Linked DNA regions of Tamandua tetradactyla. The protein of the gene in region 1 purifies or fractionates together with the protein of each later gene. This does not show direct contact. Links are inferred from orthologs where the notes say so. Each region holds a gene or a part of one and is shown in the gene's direction. Other genes may lie near its edges.

Region 1 (5,043 bases):
GTGTTTGGGATACAGTAATGCATAAAATAACTGCTGCCTCAAGGACTCTGCATACTCTCTTTCTTCCACCTGAAATGCTCTTCCCTTGGGCTTTTCATGGTTCATTCCTTCCCATCCTTTAGGCCTCAGCCTAAATATTATCTACTTGGAGAAGCCTTCCTGGCTAAACTAGGTCCCCTTTGTCATGTTCTAGCTTAGCTGCTAAGGGCCCACTTAGCCGTCTCACCATGGGTGCCCCAAACCCCACCCCATTTAACTTGTCTCTTGTCTGTCTCCACTAGAATGTGAGCTCCAGAAAGGCAGGGATCACGCCAGTCTTTCTTCCCAGCTGTATACTCAGCACCTAAAACAGTGCCTGGCACATTGTAGGTACTCAATAAATATTTACTGAATGAATGAGTGAATGAATGAATGAGTTCTTCCTTCCCCTTTGTCCCCCACCTCCCCATCTCACCCTACCTCCACTCTTCATCTATCCTTACCTGTCAGGGGCTCTCCCCCCCCTGGAATCCCGCCCTCCAGGGCTCCCCCAAGGACCTCATAGGGGCCCAGGGGGGCAGGGGCCAGGGGGAGTTTCCCATAGTCTACGAGCCAGCCCAGCCCGCTAGCTGGGAGCAGGGCCCTGTCCAGCTCCAGACCCAGGGTCGCCAGGAGTGACATGGCTGCAGCACAGGCGCCGGGCACCAATGGCAAGGGAGGTTGCAGCACCAACTGCTGGGAGGAGGCTCAAGAGGATGCTCGGATGGGCGGAGACAGGCAGCAAGGCCAAAGTAGAGGATCTGCAGGTGGGAAGCAAAAGGGGTGGGGTCAGAGGCCAGCTCCACCCACTGGGCAAAGGCACAGGACCGCCCCTAAGCTACACCCCCATTGCCACGGAGACCCTCCTCTCAGAATTCCAAACCTGCTCTTTTTTCCCAACAATCTTAGAGCCCCACCTACTCCCAAGGGAATTGTCCTTGGGCCCAGCCTACTTTTCTCCCAAGCTCCACCCCTTCTTCTAATAGAGAATGTAGTGTCCTCCCAGCGGAATTTCCTTACACCTTTCCCATTCACCCCATGATACTCCTCTTTAATAAAAAAAAAAAAAAATCCAATCCCAGGGGAATTTCCTTCCAGCCACACCCTGTCCCTAAATTATTTCCTTTAGATCCCACCCCCTCTCGAAATCCATTCCTTCTAAAATCAGTTCCCAGGGGAATTCTCCCATGCTTTGCCTCTTCATCAGTGTTCTCCACTGAATTATCACCGTCATTACTTTAAACTGTGCGGTGACTCCCACGATGCCCCCAAAGTCCTGCTCCTCTCCATCTACTTTAGTTCCACCCCTCCCTGACAATTCTCTGTGGATCCCGCCTCATCTCACAATAGGCTTCACAAGCCCCGCCCCTCGCTACTGCTGTGGCCCTAGCCCCACCCCCTCTCCTAGAGGGTGGCCTCTAAACCCCGCCCCCACACCGTCAATCTATGCCAGGCCCAGCAGGTGCTTGGAGAGGGAAGCTGGGCAGTGCGCCCGCGCAAGGTGGAAGGGACACGTTGAAGGAGGGAGCAGAGAACGGCTCCCTACCCCATACCCCTCCGCACGCGCCTGCCTCCTCGAGAGCTAAAGCGCGTGATCGCTCCCTCAAGCCTCCGCCCTACGCGAATACTGGCTCTGGTGGGCATGAGCGGCCGCGCACGGACAGGATCGTTTCCGAAAAAAATAAAACCCACCCTTTCTGAGGGCTAGTGCGCAGGCGCCTCGGCCCACGGGCCAGACTCAGGCACAAACACCCTCGCGGGAAGGGCCCTTCCCCACCCCGGACCGAGTGCGCATGCTCGGCCGCGCGCCGCCGACCGCGGCCTCTCCCTCCTGCGCCTGCGCGACCTAGAGTCCACGCTCCCGGCTCCCCACCCCCCGGCCCCGGTGAGAAGGCCGCGCGCTGTGAAAGGGCGGGAAGGGCGGTTGGAGAGGGAGGGGCGAGCGGTTACTCACTCCATGGCGGCGGCAAGGAGAGGCGGCGGTAGCCTCGGCTGAAGAAAGAAGCGGGAGCGGAAGGCGCAGGCGCGGTGAGCGCGGAGATGACCGGGGGGCAGGGAGGATTCGCGGCTACAGGGCCATGGCCGGGACTGCGCGGGTGGTGGCGTCGCGCTGGCGTGAAGGGAGACCGTGATCCGAGGATAGGGAATGAGGCGGCCCCGGGGACCCGGGACAGATATAGCGGGGGTGGCGCAGCACGGCTCTGCCGGATCCTTCCGCGCTCCGCCCCTGCGGGCCCCGACGGGCCCTGGCAGGGAGGCGGGCCCGGCCCCCTCGTCTCTGTGACCCGGAGTTTGGGCCCTTTTCTCCTCTCACTCTGGGGCCCAGTCTTCTCCCTGACTCGGGTGCCTGGCGCCCTCCTCTCACTAACCCTGCGGTGCTGTGGTCCTCTCTTCCGTCTGACCCGGGATTCCGACCCCTTCCCTCCTCTGACTCTAGGGATTCTGACCCGGGAGCACAGACCCCTTTCTCCTCCTTCCTTTGACCCCAGGGTCTGGGGCCCGACCCCATCCCCCTCAGCTTCCCTCAGGCCTTCACGTGTCTCTCGCCTTCCCCTGCTTCACGAAAGAACTTCCGGCCAGCCGCACCGGAGTCTCTGCCCGTGCCTCCGTGAGGATCCTTGTGGGTTACTTCTGCGGGACCCCGGGGTCAGACGGTGCTCTTTTCGAATCACCTGCCTGGTGATCTTGAGCAAATAAGGTCTGTGGACCTCTTGTCGCTATCTATAAAATGAGAATTATACCCTCTATTTGGTGGGGTTGTTTGAGAATTAAAATGACAGTGTCCATGAAGCACAGCCCAGCTTGTACTCATCTGGTAACCCTGTCTTCTTATTAATAGGAACGTTGGGACTCAGTATCACGTTGTCTTCCCCTCCTGGCAGAGCCCCAGATACTTGACCAAGATTTGCTGGTAGGTTCCTCTTATGTAATTTCCAGCTATCACCACCCTCCCCCATTCCAAAGGGTGGGTGTTCAGCCCACCCCCGTGCAGGGATTTTGGCATTGTTACCCCCACTTCATCCTTTTTCCACCCTCTGTTCACCTCTGCCCACCTGCCAACATCCACAGTCCCTCAGTCCTTGTCCTCTATACTCTGACTCCACCGCGTGTGTTATTCTCTGCTTCTGCCTCTCACCCAAACTTTGTTTCAAATTGTCCTTTGCCTAAGCTGCCACTCACTGTGTGAGGAACTCAACCCTGCCAAAAAATGGGGAGATTTATGATTCCATTTAGTGAAAGAAAGCAGCCTCCTAACTATTCTTCCCCCACCCCCATACATTGGACCCTCCACCAGCCCTGGTTGGATGTAGATCTTTCCTCTGCTGCAGAAACCCTCTTTCCCACCTTGCATCCATCCACATCAGAATGTTTCACTTGGAGTTCAGCCCTCATCCCTTCTATTTGTGGGTACATGGGTTAGGAATCGAACCAGGTCTTCTGCATGGCAGGCAAACAGACATTCTACCACTGAACCACACCTGCACCCCCAACCCTCATCCCACCTGGGACAGTGAAGACACTGAATCGAGGCCCAAAAAATGTGTGGGAACTTTGATTTTGAGAGTGTCTGGGAGTTAAGAAATCCCCTCTCTTCCTTCATTGTTACATGTGGGAAGTCCTTCTTGGATCTGACCCCTTACCCTCTTGGTGTCCATCCACTGGGCCAGTACTGAGCACTTGCCCCATAGCTGGGCCCTTTGGAGCTACATTATGACCTAGACAGGGTACGGTAGTGGTTATCAGCACAGGCTCTGACACCAGGTGATCTGGGTGCACAGCTGGCTGTGCTCCACTCACTAGCTGTGTGACCTGGGCAGTTACACTTATTTCCCTGTGCCTCTGTTTACTCTGTGCCCAGTAATAGTACCCATCTCTTAGGGCTGTCATGAGGATTAAGTAAGTTAGTCCATGTCAAACATTTGGACTTGTGCCTGGCTGCTGGTTGGCACTGTTAGGGGTGGTGGTTAGGATTGTTGAAGCTCCAGTTGCAGGAGTTAAAGTTTCAAAACTAGCCCTTCACCAGTTTCTGGAGGCTTAAGGACAAACTTCCACTTCTCACTATAACTCAGTGACAGCAGGTGGTAGGGGTTAATGCTAGACAGTTGGACTCACTGCGGTCAGTGAGGAGGTGCCGCCCAGACCACCAGATTGATGAGGCTGCCACCCTTACTGGGAAACCTGCTGCTGCTGGCAGGATCTGGCTCCTAGACACTAGTTTCACTCTTCTCCTGCCATCTGGCCCCTTCCCTAGCAGAATCTGTTTCCTCCCTCTGTCCCTTTCCTACAGTAACCTCCCAGAATTGTCTTCTGAGTAGGGTCATAGATTATTTTTTAGATAAACTTTTTACTTTAGAATAATTTTAAGATTTACAGAAAAATTGCAAAGATAGAAAATGTTCTCATGTACTCTTGAACAGTCCTGGCCTTTGGGTATTTTAGGGAATGTCCCTCAGTATGAGTTTGTCTCATGGTTAAACTGACATTGTGGGGTTTTGAGCAGGTGGCCAGGGAGGGTATCTTTACTAACTGAAAAGAAACTAGCTCGGTTTGGGAATCATATTGCTGATTGTATGTGATGTACTGTCTGAAAAGTCATCTTCTTGGTCCTAGCCCCCATGCCCTTTTCACTCTGGCTGTTGGAGCCTACCTAATTCAGCCCTGGCACAGACTGGCCCACCTAGGCAGCATCACTGGGTTTTGCCAAGTGGGTGCTGGGTGCTCTGGGCTGCCCAGGCCTGCCAATAGATTCTAGTTCACAGGCAGTCATCTGCAGCTGGCACCCTGTGCCTTGTCCCATATCCATGCCTGACCCAGGTTCTGGCCTCTCCAGGACTCAAATGCCTCAGCCTCCCCCAGTCTCCCACAGCCTTTCAGGGTGCAGGTGCCCCAGCTCCTTCAACTCCTGAGATTGGAGTTGGAAGCATGGGTGGGGCTGCTGAGGACTCTTTTTCGGTGCGGAGGGGCCAGGCTGGGGAAGTGAGACGGCGATTGCAGGCGGGTTGCATCAGCCCTTGCTCTTTGATG
Region 2 (5,043 bases), on another chromosome or scaffold:
AAGTGATTATGATACAATGATGCAGGAGGTCTATAGTCTTGTATTTAGGAAGCACTGATAACCTAACATTAAAGGTAGAAGGATCTAGGTTAATAGCAGTTGAATCCTGACTGGGGGCTGGAGGTAGGGGTGTAGAGGACTTGGGAAATAGGTACAGAAGAGACACTAGGATTTCTTGGTCTTGTAACCAGAAACTCCTAATAACCCCCTCCCTGCACACACATATCCCAACCTGACCTGAGCGAAGGCCTCTGGACATGTGTCCACTGACTGTAAAGCATTCCACTCCTCTTCCATCACTTCTTGCACTAGAAGGGTGTTCTGAGCTCTCCTTGGCACACTGCCGCCAGCCTGACGATACTTGTTCAGGAGTCTGTCCCGGCTGTTTTTCATTCTCTCCAGGCATCCCTTGGAAGCAGCAGCAAGATGGGGGCAATTCCATTAACAAAACAAAACAAAGCAAAACCTCTTAGATTAGTTGTCAAAACATCAAGGGAAATTTATAGATTATACAAAATTTCAGCTATAATCCTAACTTTTAAATTTTTTATGTTCCTCTCCTATTTTCCTCCAGTCCTTGTCCACCTGTAGATAGGCAAAATTACATCAAGGTTTTGCTCAGGTATTACCAGATCTCCATACGTCACATTCTATCTTTAATGCAGGCTTCCTTAAGGATTGGGTGCATAGTATTTCAACATCCCCTGTCCTATTACCGGATATTTAGGTTGCTACCGAATTCTTGCCAACCCAGATATGGCTGTGGTAACTGCCTACCTGTGCAACAGCGTTTCTCAACTCAGGGTCAATTTTGTCCCCAGTGAACATTTAGCAATGTCTATAGATAATTTCTATAGAAGGCTATTGGACATCTAGTGGGAAGACGTTAGGGATGCTGCTAAACATTCTACAATACATAGACCCCTCCACAGCAAAGATTTATTACCCTCAAAATGTCAACGGTTATGAAACTGCTATACAGTCACTGCAGTAGTAGTTTACTTTCCTGGGATAAATCACCTACTTCAGGGATTCCTGGAGAGATAGGAGATGTTATTTTCTGGGAACCATGCTGAGCTCAGAATAGATCAGAACTGAGGTGGGATACAACTCTGCTACTTAGTATCTGAAACTCTTCTGAGCCTCGGTTTACCCCTCTCTAAAACAGAAATAATCTTGTCCTCACACGAAGTACCTATACAGAATGCCTCTCTCGGTGCCCGGCGCAGAGCAGGTGCTCAGATATGTTTTTACTATTATTAATATAGTAGGGGAGCAAGGGGCGCGGCCATTACCACACCTCGAATTTAAAACAAGCCCAAATCCAAAAACTAGGCTTTGTGAGGGAGAGGGACCCAGGCTAAACCCGGGGGGCAGAAACTCCGGAGAGGCAGCTGGGAGGTGACCAGGAACCGCCACGGGCCAAGCGTTCCGGGAACCTGCCTCAGAGTAGGGCTGAGGCGAAGGCTCGGAGACCGGATCCCAAGAGGGATTAGGGGAGTGACTACATGCCACGTAGGCCTTCCAAACTCCATATTCACCTGCCTAAATGCCTCCTTCCAAGGCGGCGAGCTCGTCTGTTTGTATAGCGAGCGGTGCCGATATCCTGACGACTCTGCCATGTCCTTTTCGCGGGAGTCGCAGCCAGAAGGCCCCACCCCACTGAAGCGCGCAGGATGCTGGGAGTTGTAGTCTCTTGTGCTATCACACGCCCATGGAAGGCAGGGAATTCTGGGAAGTGTAAATCTCAACGACCGACTTCACATGGCGACAGATATGGGCACCCAAATATGAGAGATTGTTTAGTGACATTTGTAGGAAAAATCCAACCTAGATTGAGCGACAGTGAGGCAAGAAGTAAGCGACAAAGAGGGGAGGTTTTTGATGTCTGGGTTTACCCTGGCGGAGGTGTCCAGTAGATAATTAGATACACAGGTTTCAGGATCTCCCCCAGCTAATGAGACTGTAGCTGCACCAATGCTTTCTCTTAACCCGCTCTAGCCTGTTGGCCTTCTCGTCCCGCCCTCTTCCCTTCAGAATAAGTACTTGACTGGTGATTGGCTTTCCTCTGGCGATGTCCCGGCCTGATGGGTTGGCCTTACCTTTGTTCCGCCCCCAGCCGTAAGCCTCGTGCTTCCGGTTCATCCTCTCGGTGATTGGCCGAAGTTGTGTATGGCTGGCCGCGGATTGGCTGCACTCAGCGGCGGGCTGAGCAACTGGAGCAAGGAGAGTAGTTGAGCCAAGATGGCGGCTGCTGAGGATTCGGTAGGCGACAGTGAGCTCTGGCAGACCTGGCTCCCTAACCACGTCGTGTTTTTGCGGCTCCAGGAGGGACTGAAGAACCAGAACCCAACCGAAGCTGAGAAACCTACGTCTTTATCTTTGTCTGCGCCGCCCCTGCCATCACCACCGTTGTTGACGAGAAACCTACTCTTCGGCCTCGGTGGAGAGCTCTTCCTGTGGGACGGGGAAGGCAGCTCCTTCTTAGTCATTCGCCTTCGCAGCCTCAGTGGCAGCGGTGAGGAACCCTCCCTCTCCGAGTATCAGGTATGGCTAATTGGTCTTGGAAATGACCCTTAGCTGGGGTCTAGACTCGTTTTTTTGTTCCCTTTTCATCGGGTTGTCTTTCATTTTCTGGTGGTGTGCCGCTCAAGTGTAAGCAGGTGTCTTTCGAGGATCCCCCCTCCATTTCGAGTGAAACTGTCCCTAGAAACCCCCTTATTATTATTCTACTCCAGCATGGTAACGTAACAATTTGAAGACTCTGTTTACTTGTTTCATTCCTTTGACAAATGTTTGACTCCAACACTGTGCCAGGCACTTTAACAAAAACGTAACAGAAACAAAACATATCAAGTACTTGCTCTTATTTTGTGTGTTCTGGGAGTCTGGAAGGAAGAGAAAAACCGTGAAATAATTAACGAAATATCAGTATGGTTAAGTATTTTGAAGAAAAGCCGCAGGAAAAAGGGAGATACAGACTGTACTATTTTTGGTAGGTTGGTCAAAGGAAACCTATTTCATAATGTGACATTAATGCAGTAGGGGTAATCATAACTTTCTCTTGGGGTTGTTGTGAGCATCGCATCAAGTTATAGATTTGAAAGCACCACACTTGGTGCCTGACATGGAGGAGGAATCTTTTGATAATTTCTTCTTTCCCCTTTTGGAAAATTAGGCTATCCCCAAACTGGAAGAGAGTCTTTTAAAAATTTAATTTTGAAATAATTTCAAACTTAAGGACAGTTGCGGAAATAATACGAAACCCATACGGAGAACTCCAGCATACTCACCCATTCAGATACCCAAATCCACCAGTTGTTAATATTTTGCCACATTTCCGTGACATTCTCTCTTTCCAGATACCTCTCCAGGCAGCCATCTATCTTCTAAGCATTTGAGAGTAGGTTGTATATATCATGCCCCTTGAACACTTAGTACTTCCCTGTACATTTCGTAAGAGCGAGAATATTCAACTTGTGTAACCACTGAAAAATATAATAAAAAATAGCTCCTAGGTTTTCTCAGAAACAACACAAAAGTTGTTCAGAATTGCATAAGAAGCATCCTCTTCCAAAAGTCCCTACCAAGATACTCCACCCCAAAAGCCACCTAAGCCCCTAGTTAAGCACGCCTCACCCAATTAAAGCCCTGCTTAAGGTTGATCTATCCCTACAGCACTACAAACAGTTCCCTACTCCAATCACAAAACCTGGTATACTTCCTTCTTTCTGTTTAGCAAAGCCCACAAATACCCCAGCGTCAAAACTGCTTTTGCATTGCAGGTTAAATGTTTCCTTGATGCTATAGCAATCTTGTTATCCTAAATAAAATGCTGTAAACTGCAGTTCTCTCTGATTTGTCTTTTGACTCTACCTTAAACACAGTGATCAAGTTCAAGAAATTTAGCTCATAGTCTGTATGCTGGTTTTTTGAAATATGTCCCAGTAATGTCCTTTTAGGCATTTTGTCCTCCATTGTTTTTTTTCCAGTCCAGGATTGTGTATTGCATTTAAATGTCATTGTCTCTTTAGTCTCTCTTTTTTTAAATTATGGAAAACATTTACAACAGAAGTTTTCTCATTTTCAACCACTCCCAAGGATACAATTCAAAGTGATTAATTAAATTCACAAATGTTGTACTATCCTCATTACCGTCCTTTACCAAAACTTTCCCATCATCCCCAGTCAGAAACTGTATACCTATTGTGCATTAACTCTCCACCCCACCTCTGATAACATGTACTCTACTTTCTGTCTCTATGAATTTGCATATTCTAGCTGTTACATATGACTGAAATCTTACAAATGTCCTTTTGTGTCTGGCTTATTTCACTCAACACGATGTCTTCAAGCTTTCATTCCTTTTTAAGGCTCTGTGATATTCTATTAGATGTATGTACCACATTTGTTTATCCATCTATAGACATTTGAGTTGCTTCTACCTTTTTGCTTTTATGAATAATGTTGCCATGAACATGAGTGTTCAAATATCTATTGAATTCCTGCTTTCAGTTCTTTTGGGTATATGTCTAGAAATGGGGTTGCTAGTCATATGGTCATTCAATACTGAACTTTCGCAGAAACCACCGAACAAACTAATTTCCACAATAGCTGTATCATTTTATATTCCCACCAACTGTGTACAAGCATTCCTATTTCTCCATGTCCTCACCTGCACTTGTTATTTTCTGTTTTTTTTTCTTAACAGCCGTTCCAGTGGGTGTCAGGTTTTATTGTGTTGTTTTTTTTTTTTATTAATTAAAAAATTTTTTTAAAAATACCAAAAAACACCAAACGCAAACATTTGTAATTTTTGGTCATTCCTTTCTACATATATAATCAGTAATTCACAGTATCATCACATAGTTGCATATTCATCATCATGATCATTTCTTGAAACATTTGCATCTATTCAGAAAAAGAAATAAAAAGAAAACAGAAAAAAATTCATACATACCATACCCCCCACCCCTCCCCTTCACCGATCACCAGCATTTCACTCTAAATTTTTTATTGTGGTTTTGATTTGCATTTCTCTAA
Region 3 (5,043 bases), on another chromosome or scaffold:
GTGCCTGACAGAAAAGTAGGAGAGGCTTCAACAGAATTGGGTTTGAGAATGGGAGGGTGAGAAATCAAAGGTTCAGGAGGACTGAGCGATGCTACTATAACTATTCAGGGAGAGATAATGACTTTCTGATGTAGAACAAAGACAAGGGATGGTGGAGAAAAAGGAGGGATGTTTGGCTGGACTTGGGGGAAGGGGTTTGGTGTCAAATGTTTAAACTAGCTTTATTACTTGGCCATCAATACACTAATTTTGTTCTTCCTTCAAGCATCTACTGAGCACCTACCTACCATTTACCAGATTTCTCCCATCCATTTTCTTATTACATCTTTACAACCACTTCACTTTGGACAAATAAAATATTACTAATCCCTTGCTACCACACTTACTTTTAAGCAGAGCCGATTAAAGGTTTGTATGTTATCCCAGAAATAGTGGTGGAGGAGCGGTAGTGGCCTGCTTTCTGAGTACTGCTATCCTGTGTGAGACCCTCAGTCACTAGAGCGATCCAGTTTCTAAACCCTGTCTATTTCTCCCTCTCTTAATAACCAGGTTTCTGCTAATGCCCGGAGGAAAAGATGATGAAAATGTGGCTCTGAACTAAGTCCCGGGCACAAGACAAGCAAGTGAATAATAGGATACAAAGTGACAAGGCTGTAACATGGGCTACCTGAGCACTAAGCCCAACTCCCCTTGGAGAGGTGGGTAAATGTATCACAGAGAAGGCAGGGACATTTGAACCCGGCATTTAAGAATAAGGAGGGATTCTCTAAATGGAGCAATTATTTGGAAAGAAGTACCATGAGTTTCCCTGTGCACCACGCTCTACGCTGGGGTCATTTCCTTAAGACATCTCTAAGGCTGATAACGTTAATCTAGGGTATCTGAGATGATTCTCGCCCCTATTTTACTAGAAAGAAACCGAGGGTCATAGAGGAAAAGGTTGTGCTAGGCTGGCCTACACCAAGAGGGGAAGAGCCAGGCCTTGAGGGACTTGGAGTAGCCACAGGCAAGTTACGAGGTTAGACGGCCTCCTACCAGGAGGGTCCTTCAGCTCCGCACGTGCTCTGGCCCGGAAGTGCGGAGTGGGCGACCGGGAGGCCTTCCCATCACCACCCGCGGACCGGGGAAAGGTAAGGAGAGAATAGTTACCACGCCATCCTGGAGCCTTCCTTCTGATTGGCCCAAGCTTCTGCAGCCGAAGTCCCTCGCTTCCAATGAAGGGGGCGGAGCCTCGATATGGCGTCACCACTCCTCTCCCACAGCCCGCCCGGTGCATCCCAACCTAGCCATTCACCAGCCCACTTCGAGGGGCCTGTGTGACGCCACGACTCTCTCCCAGCCAATCGCGGCGGAGAGGGGGCGGGACCCCATGCCTCTCCCACTTCTCTACTCCTTCTCCTCTCCCGAACTCTTCATGCCCCTCCTTTTCCCCCTTCGCCACGCCTTCAAAAGAACGCCATCACGTTCGGTTTCAAAAGACGCGTTGCCCAATGAATAACACGGCAGGCCCAGAGCGGCGGCCTCGTCTGCCAATGCGCAGAGAGCGAGGGCGGACCGCTCGGAGCGAGCCTCTGACGGAGGACGGCGTGTGACGCAGTTGGGCCCTCTGCGCGCTGCGCCCGAAGCGGCTGTCGGTAGCGGTGGTAGCGGCGGCGACGGTTTCGTGTCGGCCGCGCGCTGCTCCTTGAGCGGCGGGTGGCGGAGGGCCCGGGCCCTCACTCCGGACACCTCCTTTCCCTCACCGTACCGTGGTAAGTCGAGAGCTGGGGCGGCGGCGGCCGGGAACCGGCAGGCTCCTCCTCCCTTCAGGGCGGGTGCGCGGGGAGTCCCAGGCCCTCTCTGCGCCGGAGTCTCGCGCTCTGGCGCGCACCTTCTGCCCCGAGGGAGGGGGCGGAGCCCGCGATCCTGCGATCCTGCGATCCTGCGGTCAGAGTCCAGACTCTTCAGGGCTGGGAGGGAATGGCTGTCTGCGGGGTTTGGGCCGGGGAATCTCCAGTTGTTGCCCACGCTGAGGGGGCGTCCATCTAACTGGTTATATTCATTCATTCGCTCCGCAGCGAATAGTCGCCTGCGGTGGGCCGACCCCTTGCGGGGGCAGCACCTTAATATCCTGAATAGGGTCTCTTCAACACTCCGTTGGCGGTCGTAGGCGGTGGGCTTTATATGCCTTGGCTTCTCCACCACGGAAGTGGCAGCCCGAGGGGCGGGTTGAGAGTTTGTTAGATTTTAAAATGGTGTTTGGCAATTGGGTCGGTTCAGTGAAGTTAAATGATATTTTCTTTTCTCCCACGTGTTCTGGGCAAAACCAGAAGAGAAGAAAGATTGTGTTTCTGGATTACCGTAGTCGTAAGGGTCTTAGAAATTATTTAAGCCACTCCATCACACGGAAGTTTTATAGATAGAGAAGCCGAGATCAGATCTCCTGACTCAAATCTCGAAATTTTTCTGCTGCACCACCCTCCCTAATTTATCCAGTCGCCCATTACTGAGGGTTCCCTTTTGGGAGGGGGCGTTCGGTAGTTAGAAATACACGTAGTCTTTAGTAGTGTTTCGTATTAAGTTACTACTATCTCTGTTGATGGTAAGACGGACACTTCATTAGTGATATACCTTAATCTAGACCACAAGAACTAGAAAGTTGGTAAAAGAATGTCAGTGATGTTTTGTATTGGAAATGAATCGATACAACTATAAACCCTTTGCGAGTTTCCCGTTCTAATTCTGACGTTTTCACTTGTATCAACGGCTGTGGGCGCTAAAGGTTCTATTAGTGACTTATGACAAAAAGGAAATGTAGACAAGACGTAGAAAACTAGTCAGCAAGCGCTTGTATTTCATATATCTTGGAATTCATAACTCCTCTTTGGGACAGAACGCAAAGTAAAGTTTGTAAAGTAGGGTAAGGTGATCAAATTAAACCACGATTTGGAAGAAGAAACTAACTGCAAGAAAGAAAGAAAAGAGCAGTGGTCATTTCTGTGGCAATCTTTTAATTCAGAAAGAAACGCTTATTAACAGAGTGACAGATGATGTGATTACTCAGTGAAAGAAGATAGGACACTTAAAAAAAAGCCAGTAGCTGGATAGGATGAAGGTACTGGTACTTAAAAACTTTTTTTTTTCCCCTGACTTCTCGTTTTAAATTTGATGACATTGGGTTAGTTTTGCCACTTAGTTCTATTCACATTAGTCAAATGGACATTTTGGTCTTGTTTAGATAACGAAGCAAAAAAATACTGAAGACTACTAGTGTATAAGAGCAGAAGAGAACTGGAGTATGAAAACTGAGATATGAACAGTGTATGTTTTCTCTGATAGTTTCTCAGTTCAAGCATCACCCTTTTCTGGGAAGCCTTCCCTGGCATTCTCTACCTCTTAAACTTCCATAACACTTATTTGATACTTCTATTTATAGCATATGTCATTTTATATTTTAGCTGTTTGTGTTTTTAATAGACTGTAGTAACATATTTTTGTCTTATCTTTGCATTCAGGTTGCCTGGCACAGAGTAGGCCCTCAATTAAGTGTTTACTTTAATGAGTAAACAAACATGGAGGAGTTAAACCTAAAAATAGTCATAAAAGAGTCAGAATATTTGTGTGTTCCTGAAATGTAGGGTCCAGAGAAGACCTCTACAATTTATATTATATGTAGTACTTTGGTACCTAACTTTATTCACATCCACTAACTTGTAAGAGTAGTAGGATTTTTAGGATATCAGGCTCACAGCTTGTTAAAATTTGGTTATTTTATTATTTATATTATTTTATCTATTATTTTTGTTGTGACAGTTAACCTAGGAAGTAAGGGATAGTAGTTTTTATGTTTAATTTTCAATGAAGAGCACATCTGTAATTATGCAATTTGTTGAAATGTTAGAGGGCTAAGAAATTTAGAGATTTATTATTAAGTATTAGAGGCAGGGCATGTATATGAGAATTTGCTCTATCTTTTGCATTTATTTCTTGAGAATTTGTTGCGTCTTTTGCGTTTCAAATTGAACCTTATGTATTTAGCACAATATGTCTCAAAATATATTTCTAGGCACTATTGACATTTTGGGTCAGATAATTCTTTTTTGTGGAAGGGCTGTTTTGTGCATTGCAGGCTTTTTAACAGCATTCTTGACTGCTGCTCACTAGATGCTGGTAGCACTCTCCCACCACCCTCCAAATTCTAACAATGTCTTCAGACACTATCAGATGTCCCCTGGGAGGCAAAATAATCCCTGATTTTGAGACCACTGTTCTAGAGAAAACATTTCCAGTATTTCATTAGAATCATGTTTTTATCTTGCTTGGAGTTTGCTTATATAGTCAATTGGTTGTATTTTGTTAAAATTATCCTTGAAAAACTCTTAAATTCCTGAGATCTGATACTTGGGAAGCTGAAAAACTTAAGAAACCAAATAGTATCTATTTCTGTCTCCACTTCCCCCACCAGAAGAGGCAAAAGATCTTGTAGTTGAACTGATGTAAGTAAATGTGATGCTCTGTGATTTAATAAATATTGAGAATTCACCTTATTAAAGAGTTTGTACAAAATCCACTGGAATGGGAAATCATTGTAATTTTTAAACTGGGGGAATACAAGTAATTTCCTAAAGTGTGGCTCTAATTGCATAAGTCTGAAACAAAGAGTGAGTTTAAACTAGGCTTGGGTAGAACCGAAGATGTGAAACTGTAAGCAGGCCAGATGAATTGGGAAGCCATAGAAATAGTCTATCTAGGACAGCAGTTCTCAAACTTTTTGGTCTCTGCATTCCTTTATACTATAAAAAATTGAGGATTCCAATAGCTTTTGTTTATGTAGGTTATGTCTATTGATAATTACTGTATTAGAAATTAAAATTGAGAAAAATTTTAAAGATTTATTAATTTAAAAAATAATAAACTCAGGCGGGCCACGGTGGCTCAGCAGGCAAGAATGCTCGCCTGCCATGCCAGAGGATCCAGGTTCGATTCCCGGTGCCTGCCCATGTAAAAAAATAATAATAATAATAATAATAATAAACTCATGCTAACATTTTTATTAAAAAATTA

The links.
Region 2: the proteins of NUP62 (region 1) and NUP88 purify together in Homo sapiens (co-immunoprecipitation; 4 studies listed by BioGRID and IntAct, counting the BioPlex papers as one, with this or other methods). This does not show direct contact. The link is inferred for Tamandua tetradactyla from reciprocal best matches to the Homo sapiens genes NUP62 and NUP88.
Region 3: the proteins of NUP62 (region 1) and NUP98 purify together in Homo sapiens (affinity purification with western blotting; 3 studies listed by BioGRID and IntAct, with this or other methods). This does not show direct contact. The link is inferred for Tamandua tetradactyla from reciprocal best matches to the Homo sapiens genes NUP62 and NUP98.

What each region holds. Positions count from the first base shown.
Region 1 is NC_135342.1:11,237,661-11,242,703, forward strand, and holds the start of NUP62 (nuclear pore glycoprotein p62), read left to right. Parts: upstream 1-1,944; 5' UTR 1,945-2,046; exon of another isoform or gene 2,047-2,233; intron 2,234-2,857; exon of another isoform or gene 2,858-2,929; intron 2,930-5,043. Other genes in the region: ATF5 (cyclic AMP-dependent transcription factor ATF-5), read right to left, coding at 483-660. UniProt on the Homo sapiens protein: Essential component of the nuclear pore complex. The N-terminal is probably involved in nucleocytoplasmic transport.
Region 2 is NC_135332.1:59,947,266-59,952,308, forward strand, and holds the start of NUP88 (nuclear pore complex protein Nup88), read left to right. Parts: upstream 1-1,724; 5' UTR 1,725-2,244; coding exon 2,245-2,547; exon of another isoform or gene 2,548-2,710; intron 2,711-5,043. Other genes in the region: RPAIN (RPA-interacting protein), read right to left, coding at 238-408, 1,542-1,622. UniProt on the Homo sapiens protein: Component of nuclear pore complex.
Region 3 is NC_135334.1:74,755,821-74,760,863, reverse strand, and holds the start of NUP98 (nuclear pore complex protein Nup98-Nup96), read left to right. Parts: upstream 1-1,586; 5' UTR 1,587-1,751; exon of another isoform or gene 1,752-1,832; intron 1,833-5,043. UniProt on the Homo sapiens protein: Plays a role in the nuclear pore complex (NPC) assembly and/or maintenance. NUP98 and NUP96 are involved in the bidirectional transport across the NPC. May anchor NUP153 and TPR to the NPC.